Schizosaccharomyces pombe: one gene and its partners. The gene in region 1 interacts genetically with each later gene. Each region holds a gene or a part of one and is shown on either strand. Other genes may lie near its edges.

Region 1 (5,705 bases):
AATATTAATGGTATATCCTAGGTCAACTTCACAATACACTATACTCTAGGGTTCATCCTTCATAGAATATTACTCTCTTCGCTATATCTTAGAACTGATATATGCACTAATTTTTTAACTCGCATTAGACGAGTCCTTTCTAAGGAGCTAGCTTAATGATTATGTACATAAAATCTTCATTTTAACATCATTCAAAGTATTCTATTTAGTCGCTCGACTTTTCGACTTCTTTAGTCTCCTGTAACTTTCTCAAAATTTGTCATTAATCAACCATCAGCCAAGGTCTGATTGATTTGGTCTTTTTTTGTTAAGTAATTAATTTTGGAAGTGCTTACACTGAAGACGTCTATATGCTCAAAAGTCGCTGTTAGTTTGTTGCCTTTGCGTGAACTTGCTTTGTTAATTTCAATACCATATTGACTTGTTTTTCGATCAGTATTCAACTGTTTTTATTTTAATCCTGATAATCTTGATTTAAATCAAATTTACTTCCTAAATGGATATTTACGAACATAAAAAATCATTCATGGAACGACAGATACGGCTGTTGAACCGACCTATGCGCCCTCCAAAGGATTGGAAACTTCCTTTAAAATCCGGTCAGCTTTCAGAATCAGTCGTTGAAACTGTATTCCAACGTACGTGTTCCATGCTTTTGTCTGGATTTCTCCTACAAATAAAAAGTTCAAAATATTATTATTAACCAAAACAGGATTGCAACTTCGTATCCAAAAGCATGCAAAGCTAAATTATTCACATCAAGCAACTCAGCATGTTGCCGCTCAAATACGAAAGTTATATGAACAAAATAGCGCTATTGAGGACATTACCTTTTTAAATCCATTATTTTATGGAGAAATTGATTTAAGCAATTTAGACAGTGTAAAATCACTTCCCCATCCATGGCCTTTTCAAAAAGAATCCCGACCTGTCGAAAAGGATGAGGAGCAAGAGAAGTTCAATCGTCTTACGGGAGAGTTACTTGGTCTATTAACAACGTTGTCAGAATTAGAACAGGAGCGCTCTGAACTTGAGCAAATCGAAAAAATGTTGGAACCTTTTGAAGATGGGCCTTCTTCAATACATACGAATATGTGGAAGAAAAACCCTGAATTGATATCAACCCTCAACAGTACGAACACCATGGTAGCTAAAATTAATTCTCTTCTCAGAGGGGTTTCATTTCCTTCTTTAAACAATGACAATCAGGAAGCGTCATTGGAGGACGAAATCAGAAGCCAATTATTCGAAAAAACTATTTCTGATGATTAAAAAACTTTTCGTAGAAATTGAGAGGGAATGATGTTCATGAACTCCTATTGCATCTCATCATCTGCTTTTGAAATAATGACTAATACTTAATTGGAGGAGAGGGTGCCTTATTTCCTGGTTTAAGGATTTTATTGACTCTACTAGAAATGTTGGGGCTATAGAAATAACTTTGAAGCTTCTACTTTACGTTCAGATATTTATTGGTTAATGATTTCCTAGCTTTGGGAGGCATTAAGTTAGTTGATAAGACAACACATTTTTATTTACAAATGAGTGTCCGCTAAACAAAATACGTTTCTTAACAATTGTCTTAGTTTTATTTTTTAGTTTACAGTGTTTCTAACCTTTAATGAATCATTACAGCTTATAATTCAAATACTCAGCTCTCGATTGTAAGTACGTTAACATTAATTTTATCACAATTATAATACCTACATACAAGGAACTATAGATTTAATTATTTTTCTTTTCTTCTGATAATTCATAAAGCTTTATATTCCTAATGAATTCATATTACTTCACTTATATTCTGAAGCTGCATATAGCATGTACCATCTGTAAGCTCGATGAAATGAGTGATGGGTAAAGTATCTGCAAACAATCAATCTGGTAAGTCAATGTGTATCATTCTTTTGCTAATATTAGGATTTTTTAAATTTTATATCGATACAGCGTTGCTTTTAAATGCTGAATTTATATCCTCCTTCACAAATTGTATAAAGTATGGTTTTGCGCAAATGGACTATTACTGATGATATAGTTCTGAATATAATGGAAAAGTAAAAATTTCTTACTCTTCTTCATCTCAGGTATTTTATATATCCTAGCTATTGACGCTAATAATTCAGCAATTCAAAGTCATAGTGTACGAGGAACACAAAAGAGAAGCGTTTAGTCTGTAAGTTCCATGCGTTCATCCTAAATATTATTTTAAATATTAATTAACATGCTAGTTTTGAGGAAATAGTTCAAAAGTTGAAGCGCGAATCAACTGTTTACAAGAAACCACGCCTAGATATTCATCCATTCGGGCAATTGCATTATGATTTTACTACTTTATTGAATTTTCAAAGGTACTTAGACTTAGGATACGGTATTGAAGATGTGAAAATAAAAGAAAATGAGGACATTGTTAAGTCTAAAGTGGGCAAGAAACCGACATCCTCCGATTTTTATATTCCTTGCTTGATAAAACCTAAAATCATTACTCCTTTTGAATGGGAAGGAAATTTTAAACAGGTCATTTATTCGCCTACTGTTTACAACGGGAGTTTCAAGCGATTATTTTACCTTCCCGACAATAATGATTTGCTCAAGGAGTTTGCGCATGCTACCAACACAAAATACAAGGCTTCTTTAAAAGATAATGTATGTATTTGTGAAGATACTTCTACCATCCTAACTTTTGACTAGAAAATAGTTGTATTAGCCAATAACGATCAGGACATTAATGCTATGTTGGAGAAAATGAAGCATATAGAGAATTTAGTGTCCCAGAAAGTCTATGAATATCCTGAAGAAACTCTTGTTTATGCAGGAAAGATTGCACCCTGCCAACTGAAATTTCTAAAATTAAAATTTGAAAACGAGATTTTATACACAGCTATGCATACGACATCTATTTTCAAAAGCGTTTTCAATATCCTTGGATCTTTTTATACTATGAGATTATTGAGAAATAAACATGATGGTGATTCTTATGAGTTGGTACCAGTTTTTGCTAAAAATCCTTCCAAAACCCCTCCCTGTAATGATAATTTTAAAATATTTTCTGATGATATAAAGCTGATAGGATGTAAAATATTTGCAGGTGTTTCTTTAAACTTCTCTTCTCCGAAACCAGCGCACAGATTTTACGAGTTAAATAAAACTTCATCCAATTTGTCGATCCCAGTCTTACAAAAGCCGTCAAATTTTCATTCTTCGTCAACCGAATTATCTGATAATTCAATTCATCAAGGAAGGAGAGCAGTTGATCCTGTTGTTAACCAGAATAATCCGTCAAATTTTGAAGAAATGATTATGAACAAGTTGAATAAATTACCCACGATTGATAAGCAAATTTTAGGAACTTCATCTTTGACCCATTTCCAAGATAAAACAACTGCAATTGAGCATTCAATTAATAAGTCTAATAGCAAGCAGCCTCCTCGGTTCAAATTTCAGCTTCCTCCTCGACCTACGAGCAATACTTTACCATTGGAACCTGAAGAAGAGCTGGTTACTAGATATTCTGTTTCTTCGGATGGTAATACTGTTGACGAAGCAATAACTAAACAGTCTCAGACTTTTCAATTGGTCAATTCAAATGAATTTAATGAAGTTAACGCTAATGATGTTCATAAATCTTTGCGACAAAATTGCGCAAAATTGGATTTCGACGATTCAAAGTCTAAAAACCTATTAAGTGTAGAATGTTTAGAGCTTGACAAAGGATCAGATTGTTCCACTCCAAAATCTGGCAGCTTAACTCCTTCAATTGACATGAAGTTTTTACGTTTACAAGATGAGAAAATGGACGACCTTGGTGACAACTATTATACAATTCTAATGTCTTCCAATCCGGTATCAAGCTACGGTGTGGGAAGCTTATACTTATTTCAACCAAAAATAGTATGCTCTGAAAAATACATTAATCACGAAGAGATTGACAACATGAATTTGAAATCATTGCACAGATGGTTATCTAGAAGGTCTGTGGTATTGACTAAATATGTAAACATAAGTCTAACACTTTGTTTAGCTTGCATGTACTTCAATCCTTTTCAGGTGAAATTGAATTGAATTTAGAGTATGCGTTTATTTTTGAATAAATATTAATCCAACAGGTTTGGCGTCATACTATATCCAAATATCTCATCAGATGTGTCGGCTTGTTCACATGGTTTTATGAATATATATAAGGATTTGAATCTTCCCCGATCATATTTTGCAGACTGGTAGGTTGAGTCTTCATATGTTATATTAACCTTTTTATAAAGCATTACCAAATCAGTTTCGAATATCGATTCATTATTGAATACTCCTGTGAAAATTTTGTTTGGACGTACTGAGTATACTTATCCTTTAATAGAGCATGAAGTATTAGATTCAAAGAATTACTTTGTTTTCAAGGGAAGTTTATTATTTACAGATGATAAGAGAAACAAGACAGAGGATTCCACTGTATTTTTTTCGATGATTTGTTCTTCAAAGTTAGATCAGTTTGCGTTTTATAAAGATTCTAAGCAATCTTCTACTTGCACTATCAATTTTCCTTTAGCGTATGTTATGAATGTTTTTAAGGAAAAAAACAACTAATCATGACTTATAGCTTATGGGATTCCCGTCTACGTATCGAAACGAAAGTCCCTTTAAATGATGCGATACTTACAGAGTTCTCCAAAAGTATTAGATTTAGGTATGTCAATTTCTGAAAGCTTCGACTAATCAGTTGACTAGAAACGTAAATAAGGATTTACTGTTAGTCTTTGGAAATATGGAAGACAGAGTAATAATTCATTCGGTCACAAGAATTAATGAAAACTCTGTACCTTTTAACAAAAATTTACTCCCTCACTCTCTAGAATTTATATTAAAATGTTCAAAAGTTAAGAGCTATGACATTAGCCCGTCATCTATTAATTCCAAAGAAGCCTTCGTTTGTCTCGACAGATCCAAGGAAAGCAAACCTATAGAATCCTGTTTCAGTCTAAGTATACAAAGTGTGTACATGCAGTCTCAGTTCAAATATAATAACAGTATACGCGCAGGAGAAACGGCTCCGTGGAAACTTGCAAATAAACAATTCATTGGTGGGGCTATTACTGAGAATGTTTCAGACTTGTATACTGCAGCAATTATTATGGTGAATCAATTAGGGGGGATACACCCTACTATTTAATTAATTTTATTTATGCGTTAATATCAATTTTGTTTATACCACTTAACATAAATAACCCCTCAAACCAAATTCTTAAATTAAAACAATGCGAGGACCCATTTAAAACGAAACATATAGAGTCAGTTTCATTTACCCGGGTTCTCCAATGCATCCAATTCCACTGCACGCTCGCGCAATTTATCGTATCCTTTCAATACACCTCTCCATTCGGAATCTGTTCCATAATTGATATTTATCAACTCTATGTCCCTATTTATTTTTCTTAAAACTTGAGATATTTTCTTCCTATGATTGTTGGGTTCATCAGCTACACTGAAAACTTGTTCAGTAAACAATCCAAGCATCGATAAAACCGTTCTACAAACTTTTGAAGCAGACGGAGAGTTGGATCCATCTTTAACAACTGGGCAAGCGTCAGACCACGAGTTTCTAATGAATTCTATAATTCCAGGTATTAAAGGATATATTGTCTGCCAACGGAAAGTAGGGTTATCGACAAGATCGTGTTTATTTGGATTGAATAGCGACAAATATGCAAATGAACAAGGAG
Region 2 (6,918 bases), 1.2 Mb from region 1:
TGATGAATTTAGAACCAATAAATATGTGTCAAAATGGTGAAGAGATATGGATAGCTTCAACATATGGTCCAAAGCACGTTTTGAAAAGTCAAAAAAAGAAGCTCGTTGCAATGCTTCAAACCAAATTTGAAAAATGTTAATGAGGCAAACGATTGCATGAATGATTTAATAAGATTAGACAGTTTAAAAAGAATTGCGTTCTTTACGAAAACGTATCATTGAACTAAAAGTGATGTATGTACAGGTTGGTTAGTTTACCTTTTTACAGTACTATTTTTCTACTGATACCATCAGCACCATAGAGGTAAATACAAAATTATGGCGTTGCTAAAGAAATAAATAATAAGGGAAACCATATTCTCATAAAAAAAAAACGGCACTAGAATTACTATAAACGATATTGGGGGGAAATATTATTAGAGTATCAAAGATATGGGCATCTCAATAATGACTTAGCAAGTGAAAAAGTTAGATTTTAGGTATATTGGTCGGTTAGGCAGAGGCGTCCAAACTTTCTTTCTTTCTAGTCTTTGTTGACGACGCTGTAAATCGCGCAAGAGAGCTCGCTCATCTCTTAAAACAACAGTAACTCGAACCCGTGGAGATCTCTCAATGGCACGACCTCCACGGCCCATAGTGATAAGTTTCTTTAAATACTTTGCCTTTCCAACCCATATTTGATCAACGTAGAGAGTACTCTCATCAAGACCAGCTTCACGAACAGCGTTTTCTCGAGCAGAAACCAAAGCAGTTGCGATGTACTTGGAAATTTTTTTATCTGACATTTTCATTTGAAGTAAAGCATGATAAAATGGCTTATGGGCAATTTGACGACACAAAGCGCCGACTTTCTTTAAAGAGGAGCGAAGCACCATTGATTGTAAGGTGTAGGAAGGATCCATGGTCTCCTGTTTTTTGAAAGAAATACGTGACCTTGGTCTCTCTTTTACACGCTCTTCCTTTTGCTGACGATTAGAATCGTCCTTCTGGTTAGCAAGCATTGAGAAAATGTCGGACCCTTTTTGCGAACCCAAATTTGCAGGATTTTGTGCAGACTCCCTTAAGTAGGATCCATTTGAAAATTCTCTAACAAAAGAAAGTAATGGAAATTTGTAATGGTACGTTTTAGAATTCAATCCTATCGTGGACGATGGAACTAAAAAGCCCTTTGATATTTTCATAAATTGATTAATGTATTTCATAATTAAATCTTAAAAATTTTTTCCCAAATATTCCTTCCACACATAGAAGTCAACGTTTTCGACTAATTTGAGCAAATGCGCTTTCTCAATGTTGTAACAAAACCAGGTAAATATTACATGCCAAGGTGGTACTAATAGGAATTGCAACCTAACGAATTGCTAACTGTACTATGTTATAGGTCAGTTAGCATTTCCCTCCTTATACAGTTATAAAAATCTTAAATGAGAGAGCTCACTATCACTATGCAAGCTACTCAGTTTGTAAATCTATTTCAAGGATGGATAAACTACGATAAGGTAACTTTACAACGATGTTAACACATGCTTACATGCTTTATGCTGGCACACTAAGCTGCACATTGCGGGTATTATCTGAACGCGTTAAATGCATGGTCACGTAAAGACAGAAAACGGCCCTTGGCAGTAAACAAACAACCCATTTGTATGTTAGACAAATAATATTAGAGACAGGTGCAGAGACTGTACATGAATTGTTATTTATGATATCTTTTAGCTTCTTTGGGGAGGACGAGATTAATATTACGACCTAGTGGGCGCGTACTGAGATATTTTAGTACAATAACCTTTTGAAATTTTTTGGATATTATCCTTTTCTTTTTTATTATGGAACAAGTACAAGATGAAATTTGGAAGTTAAGTACGCTGGACGCCTGGGAAATGGTGAACAAAAATACAGAAGTTGTGTTTGATGAAATCCCCGAGCCAGAAACTTTAAGTGAAATGAAAAGACACCCATTGTATAGCAACATCTTTAACGCCGATAATAATACTACGAGTTTCACAGAACAAATCGAGACTTCTGAAACCTCCAAAACCCAAGACTCGGAGGGGAACAAAGTTGATAAAAATTTAAAAGAAAACAAGTCAATACGTCGTAAGAGAAGCATTGACAACGATTATGAATTGAGTAATGTAAAGAGAAATGATATAACATCGGGAAAAAATAGAGAATTCGAAAACGAACACCATCCCGCAAGCGATACTTCTTCTTGGCGGGAACTACCATCAATTCCAACGTTGGAAGAATTGACGTCAAAGAGTGTTGAATTACCTTCAAACAACATATACGGAGGATACAAGTCCTTTGAAGATTACTTATCTATACACTATCGGTTGCTACGTGAGGACGCAGTTTCCCCATTACGAGAAAGTGTGCTTCGGTACAAGGTAAACCCCAATTACATTACCGGCTCTTCGTTAGCCGTATATGATCATGTGCGGATAGATGGCTATACAATATCTTCCAGTGTTATAGCTGCAAAATTATCCTTCAGTGTTCGCGCTAAGAAAAAAATAAAATGGGCTACCAGTCGTCGTCTTATCAGTGGATCTTTAGTTTTATTAAGCAATGATGATTTCCAGACTTTTCGCATTGGAACTGTCTGTGCGCGGCCCTTGAGTGGCCTTAATAAACATCCTCATGAAATAGATGTCAAATTTGAAGATATTAGTATCTCTTTAGATCCTCGAGAAGAATATGTTATGATCGAAGCTACTTCAGGCTATTGGGAAGCTTACAAGCATGTTCTTCGTTCATTACAGAGGCTTTCTGCTAGCACATTCCCGATGAAGGATTACTTGGTACACTGTAAAAGTAATCAGGAGACTGCTAAACACATACAAAATAATCCTAGGATACGCATAAATTCTATCTTAAAAAATAACTCTCAAAAAATCGTAAATGCTCTTGAGCCGTTCGGTCCTGGCGAGTATATACTAGACTCGTCACAGTTAAAAGCTTACCAGTCCATGCTGACTAAGAGACTCTCCATTATTCAAGGCCCTCCAGGGACTGGTAAAAGCTTTGTTACTCTTAAAGCCATAGAAACATTACTTGAGAATACTCACTCCCATGTTCTTCCGATTTTAGTAGCTTGCCAAACGAATCATGCAGTCGATCAAATATTGATTCGTTTATTGCATCAAGGCGCTTCAGTAATGCGACTAGGTTCAAGAACGAAGGATCCTGAGATTGCAGCGGTTACGATTTTTCAAAAAGCAAAGCACACCAAGCATTCATTTAAGGCTGCTTATAATGAGATTCGTCACAAAAAGCAACGCTTAATCAAGCAAATAACTAATATTATGCATAATTTCAACCTTGAATTTGTAACTCTTAGCTATCTGCATAGTAAGGGAATTATAACGACCTCGCAACTCGAGTCCCTTCGTAACAACACTGAGTGGATCAGTTCTGTTGCGGAAAATGGCGAAAAAACTGAAGAGGAATTAATAAGTATCTGGTTAGGCGATGCTAAAGTGGAGCTTATCACTCCATCAGAAATTACGGATGGTTTTGAGGAGGAACTACAAATTGATCCAGAAAAGCTGGAAGAAATTCAGAAAGAAGCAGAAGACAGTGGTGCTTTAATGGAAGAGGAATTGAGAGGGAAATTTATTAACTTAAGATGCAAATATCTATTTTCAAAGCTAACAACACTTCATGAAAAGGAGATTGATACCCTTCTCACTATTCCAAATATTTGGGATATACCAGAGTATAGTAGAGGAATCATTTACTGTCGCTGGTTAGAATCGGCATATGCAGCTGCCGAAAAAGAACTCAATCGTCTCTATAGATTTTATCTGAAAGTAGACCGCGAGCGTATTGGTTTTTCAAACAAACGCGCAGCCATTCTTTTGCGTGGAGCGAACGTAATTGGAATGACCACAACTGGATTAAATAAGTATCGTGATATATTAGAAAGGATAAATCCAAAAATTTGCTTTATCGAGGAAGCAGCAGATGTGTTAGAAGGACCGATTATTCCAGCTGTTTTCCCTTCTTTAGAACAATTGGTTCTTATCGGTGATCACAAACAACTTAGACCAGGTTGTTCAACTTATGCATTACGACAAGATCCATTTAATTTATCAATATCTATGTTTGAACGATTAGTTGAAAATGATATGGAATATACTCGGTTGACAATGCAAAGAAGTAAGTAATTTTAAATACAATTTCCTACTAACAGACCTTAGGAATGCATCCCCAGATTCGAAGATTAGTGAGTTCTGTTTACGAAGATTTATCGGATTATGAAATTACCAAGTATTGGCCTAGTATTCCGGGAATGGGCGAAATTAGGAGATTCTTTTTAACTCATTCTCGTATTGAAGACAATGATGGCTTTGCTTCGAAAATTAATTTATTCGAAGCTCAGATGTTAGTTCAATTTGCAGTCTATCTCATTAATAATGGCGTTGAACCTCAAAAAATTACCTGCCTAACGTTTTATGCTGCTCAAAAGGATCTAATAGAGCGATTGTTAAGTGAGTCTCTTAATAGAGAAAAACATTTTATTAAAGTCGCGACTGTAGATGGGTATCAAGGGGAAGAGAATGATGTCGTTCTTCTTTCTCTTGTGCGCAACAATGACCGGACAGAGGTCGGATTTCTTTCCTCCCCACATCGCGTTTGTGTTTCTTTATCTAGAGCTAGGAGTAAGTGAGATTTTATGAAAGGAATTATTAACATATTATCAGGAGGATTGTTTATATTTGGAAATGCGCAACTTGTTGCGGAGTCGAATCCCTTGTGGTGGGACGCAATAAATACCCTCATGAATGATGAAACAATACAAGGTCTAGGAGATCACCTACCTTTGTTTACCAAAGATGGTACAATTTATGTAAATGGTAAGAAAAGCAAGCAGTTTCAGTTTAATTTTCTGACTCACTCTGTAGATCCTGTTGAATTGCTTGACGTTAATATGCGATTGACAAGGAAATAATGAGGTTTTAATATATTTATACTTTTACTTAAATTTATAGGGTTTCTACTTTTTTTTACAAACTTTTGTCAATAGTCACATTTAATATATTGACAAGCATTAGAAGGGATTTAATGAAAATAATATTCACGAACTGAGTTCGACAAATAGCGCGATAAAGATACAACACGACAGGCTTTTCAATAGCTTAAAAATATCTAGAATTTGACACAGGATGATTTAAGTGAACAGCCGAAAGTATAACGATTATGATGGACGAGTTTTTGAGGATGTCGTTTTTGAAGAAGTATGAAGGAAGCAAAAGACAGATATAGCAATTAGGGCTATGACTGTTGCAAAAATAACTTGAACAGACAGGATTGTGGATAAAACATTCGACAGTAATGTCTTTGTAAAATTTTCACTTTTGTCTGAAGAACTTTGCAGAGTTGCTTCCGTCATTGTGTCAAATGGAGATTTGTCCGGGCGCTTTACAGATTCTTCATTTTGGATATAGCGTTCAACAAGTCGGGATTTAATAGACTGGTAGATTAGTAATTGACGAATCAGTTTTTTAGCTCTTACATCTTTCTTAGTAGATTGAACGGAGGTTAGACATGAATCGATTTTGGAGAAAGCCATCTCAAAAAAGGACTCCGTGGCAGCGAAATGAAACTTATTCTCCTCAAAGGCTGATACAAATGCATCCTTAGGGGAAGTAACGGTACGTACTTGCATTGAAGAAAATTTTGGATGTAAAATGATAGGCAAACTGGAACTTCTGTATCAACAGGGTTAGTACGTAAACGAAGATAAAGATACAATCACATACTCATCCTCGAAAACAGTGGAAATATCGTTTGTGCTTGAAGCCTCTAATTGCTGGTAGAGAACAGGATCCACTGAGGTAAGTAATGTAGGAGAAGTGATAGAAACGTTTACGAATGCTTCAATAAGATGACAAGCGTCCTGTTTCGATAAAAGGTGATTGGGATCATTCTCCACAAATTCCGAAGCCAACTTTCGGACTTCTTTTTTCATCCAAGGGTTTTTCGTAAACAGCTCACTATAATGAATGTCAAGGAGAGTGATAAGTTCGGAAATGGAAATCTGCAACCATTGTTAGAGAGGAAAACAAGATGCTTCTATAGAAATGATTTAACTTACCTTCGAATGGGATATCTTGGAGATCTGTCCAAACAACTCTTGGCTTTTCGTCAATTCATTAGGAACGGAATTCATACTGCAACAAGTGAAACTTAATAAATTTTCAAAAATAAATTTTGATTTGAAAGCAAATAGTTCTCGAAGGGATTGAATTTCTTCCGGCGAAAGGAGTTTAAAGAAATTTAATTTTAGATGCAAAAGAACAGTGAATCAGAACAAAAAAGGAAGTTAATAACTCGATTTCGCTTTAATAAATAAAAATATTATCATAAACACATTAAAAATTCTATCAATAGACCTTAACTATGTTTTTTATACAGAAAGGAGTATGCCGTCAGTCAAGTTGTAACTATATTATCATTTCCATAAGAAAACTTCTTGTTTTTCCTATTGATTGAAAAATTTACTAATTAAATAGTATCGTAAACTTCAAGTAAAATTCATCAACTAAGTCGTAAGGGACTAATGGTTGAAGATGAACGAAGACAATTTCATAAAAGTTATCGAAGTAACATGTGACTTGAGTTACCAAATTATTGAAAAGGGCATGTAGTAGTAAATATCAGAAAAAAAGTAGGTAAATAATAACAAATGTAGGCGAGTTAGAATAAGATTCGTTCTTTTTTATTATTCCTTTTTAATCAACAATTTGTTTTTTTTTATTGAACCGAAAATCATCGACGCCGAGTAAGAAAGAGTGAGATTATAATAATCCTTGACATGAAGAATTTTATAGTGAAAAAGTATCTCTGATCTTAAAACTTTCATTCATTTTGTCAAGGTCTGAAATGGGGCACATTGGTCAAGTTTCATTT
Region 3 (3,450 bases), on another chromosome or scaffold:
GTTAACTATTAAATATACTTATTCAAAAAAAAAGAACACCAGATTCTCCTGTCACGCATCTAGGTTTCCAGTTTTTCATCTGTTCCCTCATTAACGTTCTACCAGTTGCCCGCATTGTTCCAGAAGATCAACCCAAATCTGAACGAGATGCAATAGCCTGGAGACTACCAGAGTCTTCATTTTACCCGACCGAGATCGTTTCCATGGTCGGAATCGAACACTGGAATACTTGAGACTTGGCGAAAAATGAGTATTATACAAGGGAAGAAAAGAAGAAGAAAATAAAAGGATAATTTATGTTTTACGGCAATAAAATAATGAATTAATAAGCAAGAAGTATTAAAATGGACTTTACCACTAATGAGGTTCTGTTTAGTAGGTTAGTAGTCTGTAAAAATTTGACAAGAAAAAATTTTCCGTTTCTTCAATTGAAGGGGAGCTCCATTTTAAGATTTGAATGGTCTGAAGAAATGTATAGATTGTATATATGGTTGTTACCGTACCGAAAAGACTATAATGAAAAGTTTAAGGGAATTCTAATAAATCCTTCTATTTTTCTTCTTGGCTGTCATCATGTTCAAATATGCAGTTTTCCGAACAACCTTGTATTTTTCATGGGAAAATGCGATTTGTTTCGTTTTTGTTAGCTTTGTTTGAATACCATTTTTTAACTTATGCGATACTTTCTAAACGGAGTTCACTTTTTAAATTAATCTATATCAACTGAGCCGTTCAATTCAATCCCTTTTTTTATATCAGCTTGTAAACAAACGTTTCAGGAAATGAGAAAGTTCAAAAAGCGTTAAACAGTGAATGCTTGTATGTTGAGCTTTGACTTGTTTGCAAATGTTTAATTGTCGAAATTCATCATCTGTATCTGTCCAAAGTTGTGAACTGACAAGATAGAGATTAATTTGTTAGATCACGCAAAGTACGATATGTTTAAAATGCTTATACCAGGTTGCAGTCTTTGTTTTTCATAGCTTTGCAAAAAAAAAAGTGGATTAAAATACTAATGACTACTAGGGTTCGAAAGGTTGCTGTTCGATTATGAAAAAGCGTTCACTCTTTTATCTCCCAAGCGATGATTTGAATTTTTGATGCATCTGTGGCGTAGAATATGATCAATCATTTTAGAAAACAGAATAATATTCAAGGATCCATTTAAAGTCCTATATAGAGTAAAGGATTTTAGCTATTATCCTCACATTGAAGACTGGTCCCATTATACCGAAGTCTGTTGACATTAATATCGTTGTACCGGCTTTTTGAGTAGACTAAATATCTTGTACAGGATCTACTTTGAAAGAGGGTATTAGGTCCTTTTTTTATTTTTTGTTTTCCAAGGATTAAGATAGAAGCTGAATTTTTTTGGCTAGGCAAAGTTGACTAATTATTAACAGACTGTGGTTCGAGTGATTAGCAATCAACCTATCCTTATATGAAATCGTGCTTTTAACAATTTCGGTTGTTGGGAGATAACTGTGTGTACGGAGAATCAGAAATTTTTGTTTTGGAAAATATTTGTAAAAGCAATTACGTCTAAATATAATGAATTACGCGCTAGAAAATTTTCATATAGCTGAATCCCGAAAAGCTCAACCTCCCATATGATTGAGCATCCATAAAAGCATGAAATTTTTGGTACAAGTATCGGTGAATCGTAAATTTAGAAATAACTGAGCAATTTTATCTCATACATAATATAGGAATGAAACGTTTGTCGATCAATAACTAGTCTGATACTTGATGCAAACATTTAATCAAATACCCTTTTTTAGGAATTTAAGGAAAGGGCTTTAAAAGAAATTGAAAACTTAACTAGAACTAGCTTTTCTTAATCGTTTCTCGTAACTTATCACCACACGCTAACATTAGCATTCCTTTGTATTCCAACGTTACCTACACTGCAGTCAAGGAAAATCATCCAACCTAACATTATTCCTTTGCATATCGCGTCCATTTTATTTTCTACCATGTCAAATACTGTTAGGAGCTTAGTCATCAAAACTAATGTCGTTAAAAGAATTATTAAAGATGTAGAAGTAAGTTTCCTTTTTGGATCGCGATTTTGTAGATGGAATTTTCTGACCTCAACAATTGTTTAGTTGGCTCATATCGATATTAACGAGGCCGAGAAACGTGTACAAAGTAAAATTGATAATGGGGAAGATTCTGCAGAAATTGAGCATCAGGTATGTTGCATTAGTTGAAACCATATAAACGTTGGACGTGTTGTGCTAGAAGATGTTTCTACCAAGCTGAAGATACTTTTCGGTGGTTTCCGCTTTAGCGTATCTTTTTTAAAATAAAAAATAATCAAAGTACTGACATTCTGGACCTCTAGAAATTTGTTTTGAAGAAGCATCTTGAGGCGTTGCCAGATGCTCTTGTACGTCTTCGTAATGCGACGAACGACTTGGAATCCATTTCTTCTGACAGTGCATACGAAGGAACTCCTGAACTTGAACAAGCAAATGAATATTTAGAAAAAGCAAAAGAAGTAATTGAAAAAGAGCAAACGAATTTCCCCACGAATGGGTACCACTGAATACACATTTACTAGCTTTTGTAGATCCCTGCTAAAATTTATTACTGACCCTTCAAAAGACGATCATGAAAAGGTTCTACGTTCATCATTCTTTACCCACCCTTTCAATGCTATCCTACTCAACTGTACTGTGTCTTCGATTTTTATTCCAATCCATTAAAATAATAGACAATCCCAACTACTTAAGGATTATCCAAGTCATGCTTAAATCTTTTTTAAGATTTCGCCAATCTATTCTAATTTTGCCAGTTAGGTGAAACTGTTCACATAAAAAAACATACGTATTCCCCTTTATTCTACTAGAGATTTAAATTTTAGCTGGACAATCAAACAATTTTAAAACAACCAAATGTTCCTGCTAACAAGCAGCATAGACAGTCGTCCTCTAGTATTTATTTGCACTTTTATTGTGAGTGTAATGTAGCGTATCACTATGTTAGATTGTACAGCTCATTGTTTGACGTTACTTACCATCTGAGCAAAGAGAAAGAAACACTTCGCGTGAACATTAAACAGATTGGGAGCATAAAACGTTCCATTTGTATACCTATGGCAAGTCCGCCAATATTATCAAGGGAATCACCTGTGTTGGGTTTAGAAGAAGAGAAGAAATCTGACGGCGGCAACTCTGAAGTAAATATTGACCCTTCTGCATCTTCATCGTTGAAGGAAGATGTAGATGGCGAAGAGGGAGCTGATACAAAAATAGATCCACACCTTCTTGAAGAAGATGATTTAAATCCTGTAGAGGATTACGATTCTAAAAACCAAAAAGTCGTTGAAGCATCTAAACTTGACCTTGACGCTACATCAACTGTTTGGGCGGAGAGTCTTAGTATTAATAGAGAAGCTAGTATTTCCCAATCAGGCATTGTAGACAATGAAATGGAGAAAAAAGT
Region 4 (4,700 bases), on another chromosome or scaffold:
AACTTTTCATAAAATAAACATACAAGAAAAGAATATTATTTTATATATATACTTCAAATAAATATAAAATATGTATAGAAAAGGATGTATTCAGAGCTTCCATGTAGTTCTTGATTCAACTCGAAAGTTCTGAGAACTTTTTTGGAACATTTACGAATTGAAAACTGCGTTAGAATATTATAAGCTGAGAATAGCAATGTATATTACCCTGAACGCTAAAGTTGGATGTTTTGCTTCGACCAAATTATTGATGATGTGTGACTAATACATTGCATTGGATCTTTCGTATTTATGAAGGATATTCAGTATTCCTTTGAAGAAACTAAGACATGGTAATTTATCAAACTCGTTCTATTGTGGTATGAGTGAATCGACACTTACGTAAATCGGACGGATAGCTGAATTATTACGAACTTTGTTTATTATATAAAAATAAACGGCTAGTTGAATTATTGTTTGGAATTAGTCATGAAAAAAATTGGTCATTTAAATCGTATAAGAACGCACACTTTTTCCATCTACAGATTTAACTGCCCCAAAAATGTCTGAATGCAATCAGTATTTAGACGAACCCTTATTCGATTTAATGTTAGCGTAATTTCCGTAAACATTCGCTGTATTACACTATTTCACAAACTCATCCTTGTTCTCTGTTTTGCTAAACAATTAACGAGAAGTGGAGTATCAAAAGAACGAGATGCACAAAATTGGTAAAGCTTAAACAAAAAAGGGAAGTGAATAATTTGACAGAGAATTCTAATTTGCAAGATCAGCATATTTAATAGGTAATGCAATTTAATGTGTTCGATTGCTGAACTACAAATAGTGGTCCAGTATTACATACATCATCGATTCGAATAATCCAACAAATTTGTTTACACTATACGCAAACTTTAGTAGCGTCGACTTAAACTGCTGAATGTATAAATGGATAAATATCTTAATAACTCCTAATAGTATCAACGCATTGTAGTGCTTTTAGTGGGTTGCATACTAACTCTGAGTCAAACTGCGAGTTGAGTGGGATGTATTAATTAAACGATATCTATAAAAAGAAATAAATCGCGAATTTTAGCAGATTTCTGATTTTGGACCTTAATGGATTTAACCGAGACTATCGTTTAATTAATTAAACATAATATGGGAGGGTAGCAACAATATTACCTATCTGCTTAATTCATAGTGAGGAGCACCATTGATAAATTACACGAATATAATTAACAACTTTTCATATTATTTATTAGTTGACACTCAAGTATACAATGACATTGCCAAAACATTAAAAATTTTCAGGATTTCATAATACAAAATATTTAAAGTCAATAATCATTCAAAATCTTGTTAAATATTAAGAAAAGTGGTTTTTTTTAAAAGTATTGTGAAAACTACCGGACTTAATACTATCGCCAGGAACCTAAACATGTTATTTCCCTACCTCATTTGGTCAAATGTGATCCCAGCCTTCTAATGAATCTCTTACGCTAATATAAGTCAACGTACACTGGCTTCCCTATCATCGGTGAAGCATCATTCTTTGTTTCTTACAACAGATAACTGTTGCTGGATTATTCTTTGTGTTTAAAATTTTGTTACTACCAAACAGTATACGCAGATATGCATGCACCTTTATTGTGCCTTGAACTTTAGCCTCAAGGAACAAGCTCCCTTTGAAATCGCGTTTTTCGACATCGCGCTTCAAAATCAATAAAACGCGTCGCGACGCGGCTCGGCACGACGCGCGACCATCCATCATATATAAACACATATCTCAGGCAAAATGTAAATTATATAACCAATCTTTCAACACAGAAAGGGTTTAGAGAAGAATACGCTCATTTAATTTGAAAAAAATCTTTGTGCACTGGGTTACTCTCGTTTCTTCTCGTCTTGCATGAAACATAGCTTTGTTTAACCTTTGTTTTTGGTGTAAAGCTCGAACATCATAGCGTGTTTATACCCAGGCATTAACCTAAAAATTACTAATTCGTGCTTCTATTTTTTCCTTTATTAATATACACTCTTTGTTTTTCTAGTTCACACTTTTTGAAACAAGGCACCTTGATCACGGATCTTTTGTAATCTTGCCTTGTTTTGTTACAATAATCGATTTATGTTATTTTGAAATTCATTCCTTCTTTAAATCACGACAATACTTCGCGTTACAATTCAACCTTAATTGTTTGAATACTCCTTTGGCCAGTATGAACATTTCTAGCCAAAATGTGCTACTGCCTTCTCCAATTCCCTCTTCATCGCCTATGGCTTCTCACAAGAAAAGTTGGCTCTCAAAACATCCAAATCAATCAATGACTTTTGAGAAGCCTCAATTGGGTAAGGTTGATTCCACGGTGATTAGTTAAGAAAACTGTGTAAACCAAAAGAGAATCATGCCTCTTTACCAATTGACTTGAATCTAACTTTTACTAATATTAATTTAGGCCAATTCGTCCTCACGCCTGAGCCATCTAGTAATACATTCTATGCCCCCTCTTCGCCTGCTTCTGCAGTGAGAAGAGAGCCACTTTCTCCAATGTCTTTTGTACGGATGCGTTCACATCGCGTTAATAAAATTGGCCGTTCTAGTCAACAATGTGACCATGTCCTATCCACGGTTGATAAAGCAATTTCTCGTGTACATGCTATTGTAACTTGTACACAAGACCGCATGATTATTGAGTGCGTGGGTTGGAATGGGATGATTGTGTCTGATAAAATGAGGAAGTCAGTATTCCACATGAAGAAAAATGATCGGATTGTCCTGGTAAGACCGAATTCGGATGCTTGTCCTGTACTGGATGTATTCGGTTACCGAGTTCTTCTTGGTTGGCCAAGTGATTCTGAAGATGAATGGGAAGGAAATCTTAATGCTAAAAATTATGAAGAAAATCGTGAACCTATGTCTCCTTCACCTCAAGAAGCTTTACCTTTGATGCCTTCATCACCTCCTTCTCAAGACTATCAAAACGATCAGAATCATCTCATATTGTACACTAATTCCGAATCCATTCCTAAGCTAAACTTGCGTAGTAACGAATTAGTATATCCTCCTCCATCCAAAGATTTGTTACAAAAGCTTCTTGCCTTAGAAAAAGATGGTCAGGTGGAAAAGTCTGATTGTTCCAAAAATACACAATTAAAACCATCTTTTCTCCCAAAGAACACCGACGATTTACTCAATGGCACTGATGATAATAACATCGTTTTAAGAGAAGTTAAGGTTTCTTTTGAGAACGAAAAAATCGAGAGTGATGATCTTGATAAAAATGAGGAAATTAGTGAAGGTGAAGAATACACTCCAATTGAAGAGTCAAAAGAGCCTATAACAGTAAGACGGGATAGCGTTATACAAATTGATGAATCGTCCGCTGGACTAACGGACGTTATCTCTGAACTTAATTTTACAAACCATAATGATGACTCAAAGAATTCTAATATTACAACTTCAAATGATTCCCCAGTGAACGAAGTTGAGCCAATGGCTCCTGAATTGAGTTCAGCAGTTGTGGAAAAGAAGGAACCTGAAGACTACGAAAGCATCTCTGCTGTTGATGAGAACACTAATGACAGTAATGAATCCCTCCCTTCTAGCCATGATTACTCAGAATCAACAAAAGAAAATTCAGCTCCCGATAGCTTATTATTAGGATTGGTTTTAGATGAATTGGTTTTCTCAACAACTTCAACTACTCCCCTTCCTGCACTTTCGCATTTATTTCCTTCCAATATGCCACTTCAATTAATTCAGGACAAGCTTCGAGACTTGGCAGCCAAGCACCCCTACTTTGAAGAGGTTAAACGTTACGGAACTGATGCTAATGGTGATCCATTGTGGAGTGAATGGTTTTATAACCCAGATGTGGATGATGATTTAGAACGGCGTATGAGATATGCTCCATTAATGAGACCAGTAAGATCCTCACGTCGTGTACATAAACAATATTATTGGAAAAAGCCCCGAGCTCGTCCACGTTCATCGGGACATTCTTCTAGGCGTCGTCGTCTTTCATAACGAATTGAATGCTGGCATCAGACACGACCCCTATAAAATTTCGCTTTTTGATATTGTATACATTTCGTTATTACGAATGGAATTATTAGATTTTTCAAATGGGGTTCAACAAAATACAATTGAACTCAATAGTGATTTACATTTAATATGAATTTTGGGTAAAAAAACGCATTCTTTTTTATAAAACTGTATTTACAATGTATAGAAATAAATTGCTACTTTAAGCTATTTACAATTTTGATATAGCATTCAAGTAACGTGTTACTTGCTACATGTGTTGTCATATCAAAGACAAGAAAATAAATTACCCTCATATTGGAACCAACTACGGCAAGAGAATGAGCAATACTCTTTATAATCACGTATGTAACTTCCTAAAGTTTTAGAAAACATATTAATTTGTATTTCGCTAGTGTACAAAGTTGTTTCAGTCCATTCAGCGAAGCCTCGATGAGTTAGAACGTGGTGTTCAAGATGAGAGCAACACTATATCGTTAGCTGGAATTCAGGGTATGTGTAGATGAATAATTATGGTACTTATTTTAACCAAGTTATTCATGAGACTAATGCAAATCAATTTAGGCCAGATCTCAGCTTCATTTCTGTCATTATCCAGATCCATTGATGACTACGATAGTATGGTCCAAAGGGAATTGGTTCCCGCTAAAAAAAAAAAAGCTACAATACGAAT

What was found.
Region 2: mutations in ers1 (region 1) and hrr1 together harm fitness less than expected from each alone (positive genetic interaction), as found in Schizosaccharomyces pombe (4 studies listed by BioGRID, with this or other methods).
Region 3: mutations in ers1 (region 1) and alp31 together harm fitness more than expected from each alone (negative genetic interaction), as found in Schizosaccharomyces pombe (2 studies listed by BioGRID).
Region 4: mutations in ers1 (region 1) and tos4 together harm fitness less than expected from each alone (positive genetic interaction), as found in Schizosaccharomyces pombe (2 studies listed by BioGRID).

What each region holds. Positions count from the first base shown.
Region 1 is NC_003421.2:799,347-805,051, forward strand, and holds ers1 (RNA-silencing factor Ers1), read left to right. Parts: upstream 1-1,811; 5' UTR 1,812-1,850; coding exon 1,851-1,881; exon of another isoform or gene 1,882-1,917; coding exon 1,918-1,993; exon of another isoform or gene 1,994-2,032; coding exon 2,033-2,081; exon of another isoform or gene 2,082-2,120; coding exon 2,121-2,170; exon of another isoform or gene 2,171-2,193; intron 2,194-2,225; coding exon 2,226-2,640; intron 2,641-2,685; coding exon 2,686-3,965; intron 3,966-4,014; exon of another isoform or gene 4,015-4,015; coding exon 4,016-4,063; exon of another isoform or gene 4,064-4,100; coding exon 4,101-4,211; exon of another isoform or gene 4,212-4,253; coding exon 4,254-4,535; intron 4,536-4,585; coding exon 4,586-4,672; intron 4,673-4,713; coding exon 4,714-5,155; 3' UTR 5,156-5,197; downstream 5,198-5,705. Other genes in the region: protein Fta4, read left to right, coding at 497-638, 713-1,272; rRNA processing protein Ipi1, read right to left, coding at 5,281-5,705. UniProt on the Schizosaccharomyces pombe protein: Involved in RNAi-dependent heterochromatin formation and centromeric silencing.
Region 2 is NC_003421.2:2,027,829-2,034,746, forward strand, and holds hrr1 (helicase Hrr1), read left to right. Parts: upstream 1-1,631; 5' UTR 1,632-1,826; coding exon 1,827-4,164; exon of another isoform or gene 4,165-4,205; coding exon 4,206-4,667; exon of another isoform or gene 4,668-4,709; coding exon 4,710-4,862; intron 4,863-4,910; coding exon 4,911-4,957; 3' UTR 4,958-5,203; coding exon of another isoform or gene 5,204-5,479; 3' UTR 5,480-5,521; coding exon of another isoform or gene 5,522-5,717; 3' UTR 5,718-5,768; coding exon of another isoform or gene 5,769-6,046; 3' UTR 6,047-6,103; coding exon of another isoform or gene 6,104-6,178; 3' UTR 6,179-6,377; downstream 6,378-6,918. Other genes in the region: mrpl22 (mitochondrial 54S ribosomal protein uL22m), read right to left, coding at 453-1,202; protein Dms1, read right to left, coding at 5,204-5,479, 5,522-5,717, 5,769-6,046, 6,104-6,178. UniProt on the Schizosaccharomyces pombe protein: Has a role in the RNA interference (RNAi) pathway which is important for heterochromatin formation and accurate chromosome segregation.
Region 3 is NC_003424.3:3,375,172-3,378,621, forward strand, and holds alp31 (tubulin-specific chaperone cofactor A Alp31), read left to right. Parts: upstream 1-1,934; 5' UTR 1,935-1,976; coding exon 1,977-2,045; intron 2,046-2,108; coding exon 2,109-2,195; intron 2,196-2,347; coding exon 2,348-2,551; 3' UTR 2,552-2,729; coding exon of another isoform or gene 2,730-2,787; 3' UTR 2,788-2,832; coding exon of another isoform or gene 2,833-2,850; 3' UTR 2,851-2,897; downstream 2,898-3,450. Other genes in the region: SPOM_SPAC8E11.08C (uncharacterized protein), read left to right, coding at 345-647; SPOM_SPAC8E11.06 (uncharacterized protein), read right to left, coding at 2,730-2,787, 2,833-2,850, 2,898-2,923; SPOM_SPAC8E11.05C (uncharacterized protein), read left to right, coding at 3,101-3,450. UniProt on the Schizosaccharomyces pombe protein: Required for the maintenance of microtubule structures and cell polarity. Beta-tubulin-folding protein; may have a regulatory role in the tubulin-folding pathway.
Region 4 is NC_003424.3:1,920,755-1,925,454, forward strand, and holds tos4 (transcription factor), read left to right. Parts: upstream 1-1,788; 5' UTR 1,789-2,201; coding exon 2,202-2,331; exon of another isoform or gene 2,332-2,438; coding exon 2,439-4,009; 3' UTR 4,010-4,161; downstream 4,162-4,700. Other genes in the region: SNARE protein Bos1, read left to right, coding at 4,348-4,371, 4,423-4,519, 4,592-4,700.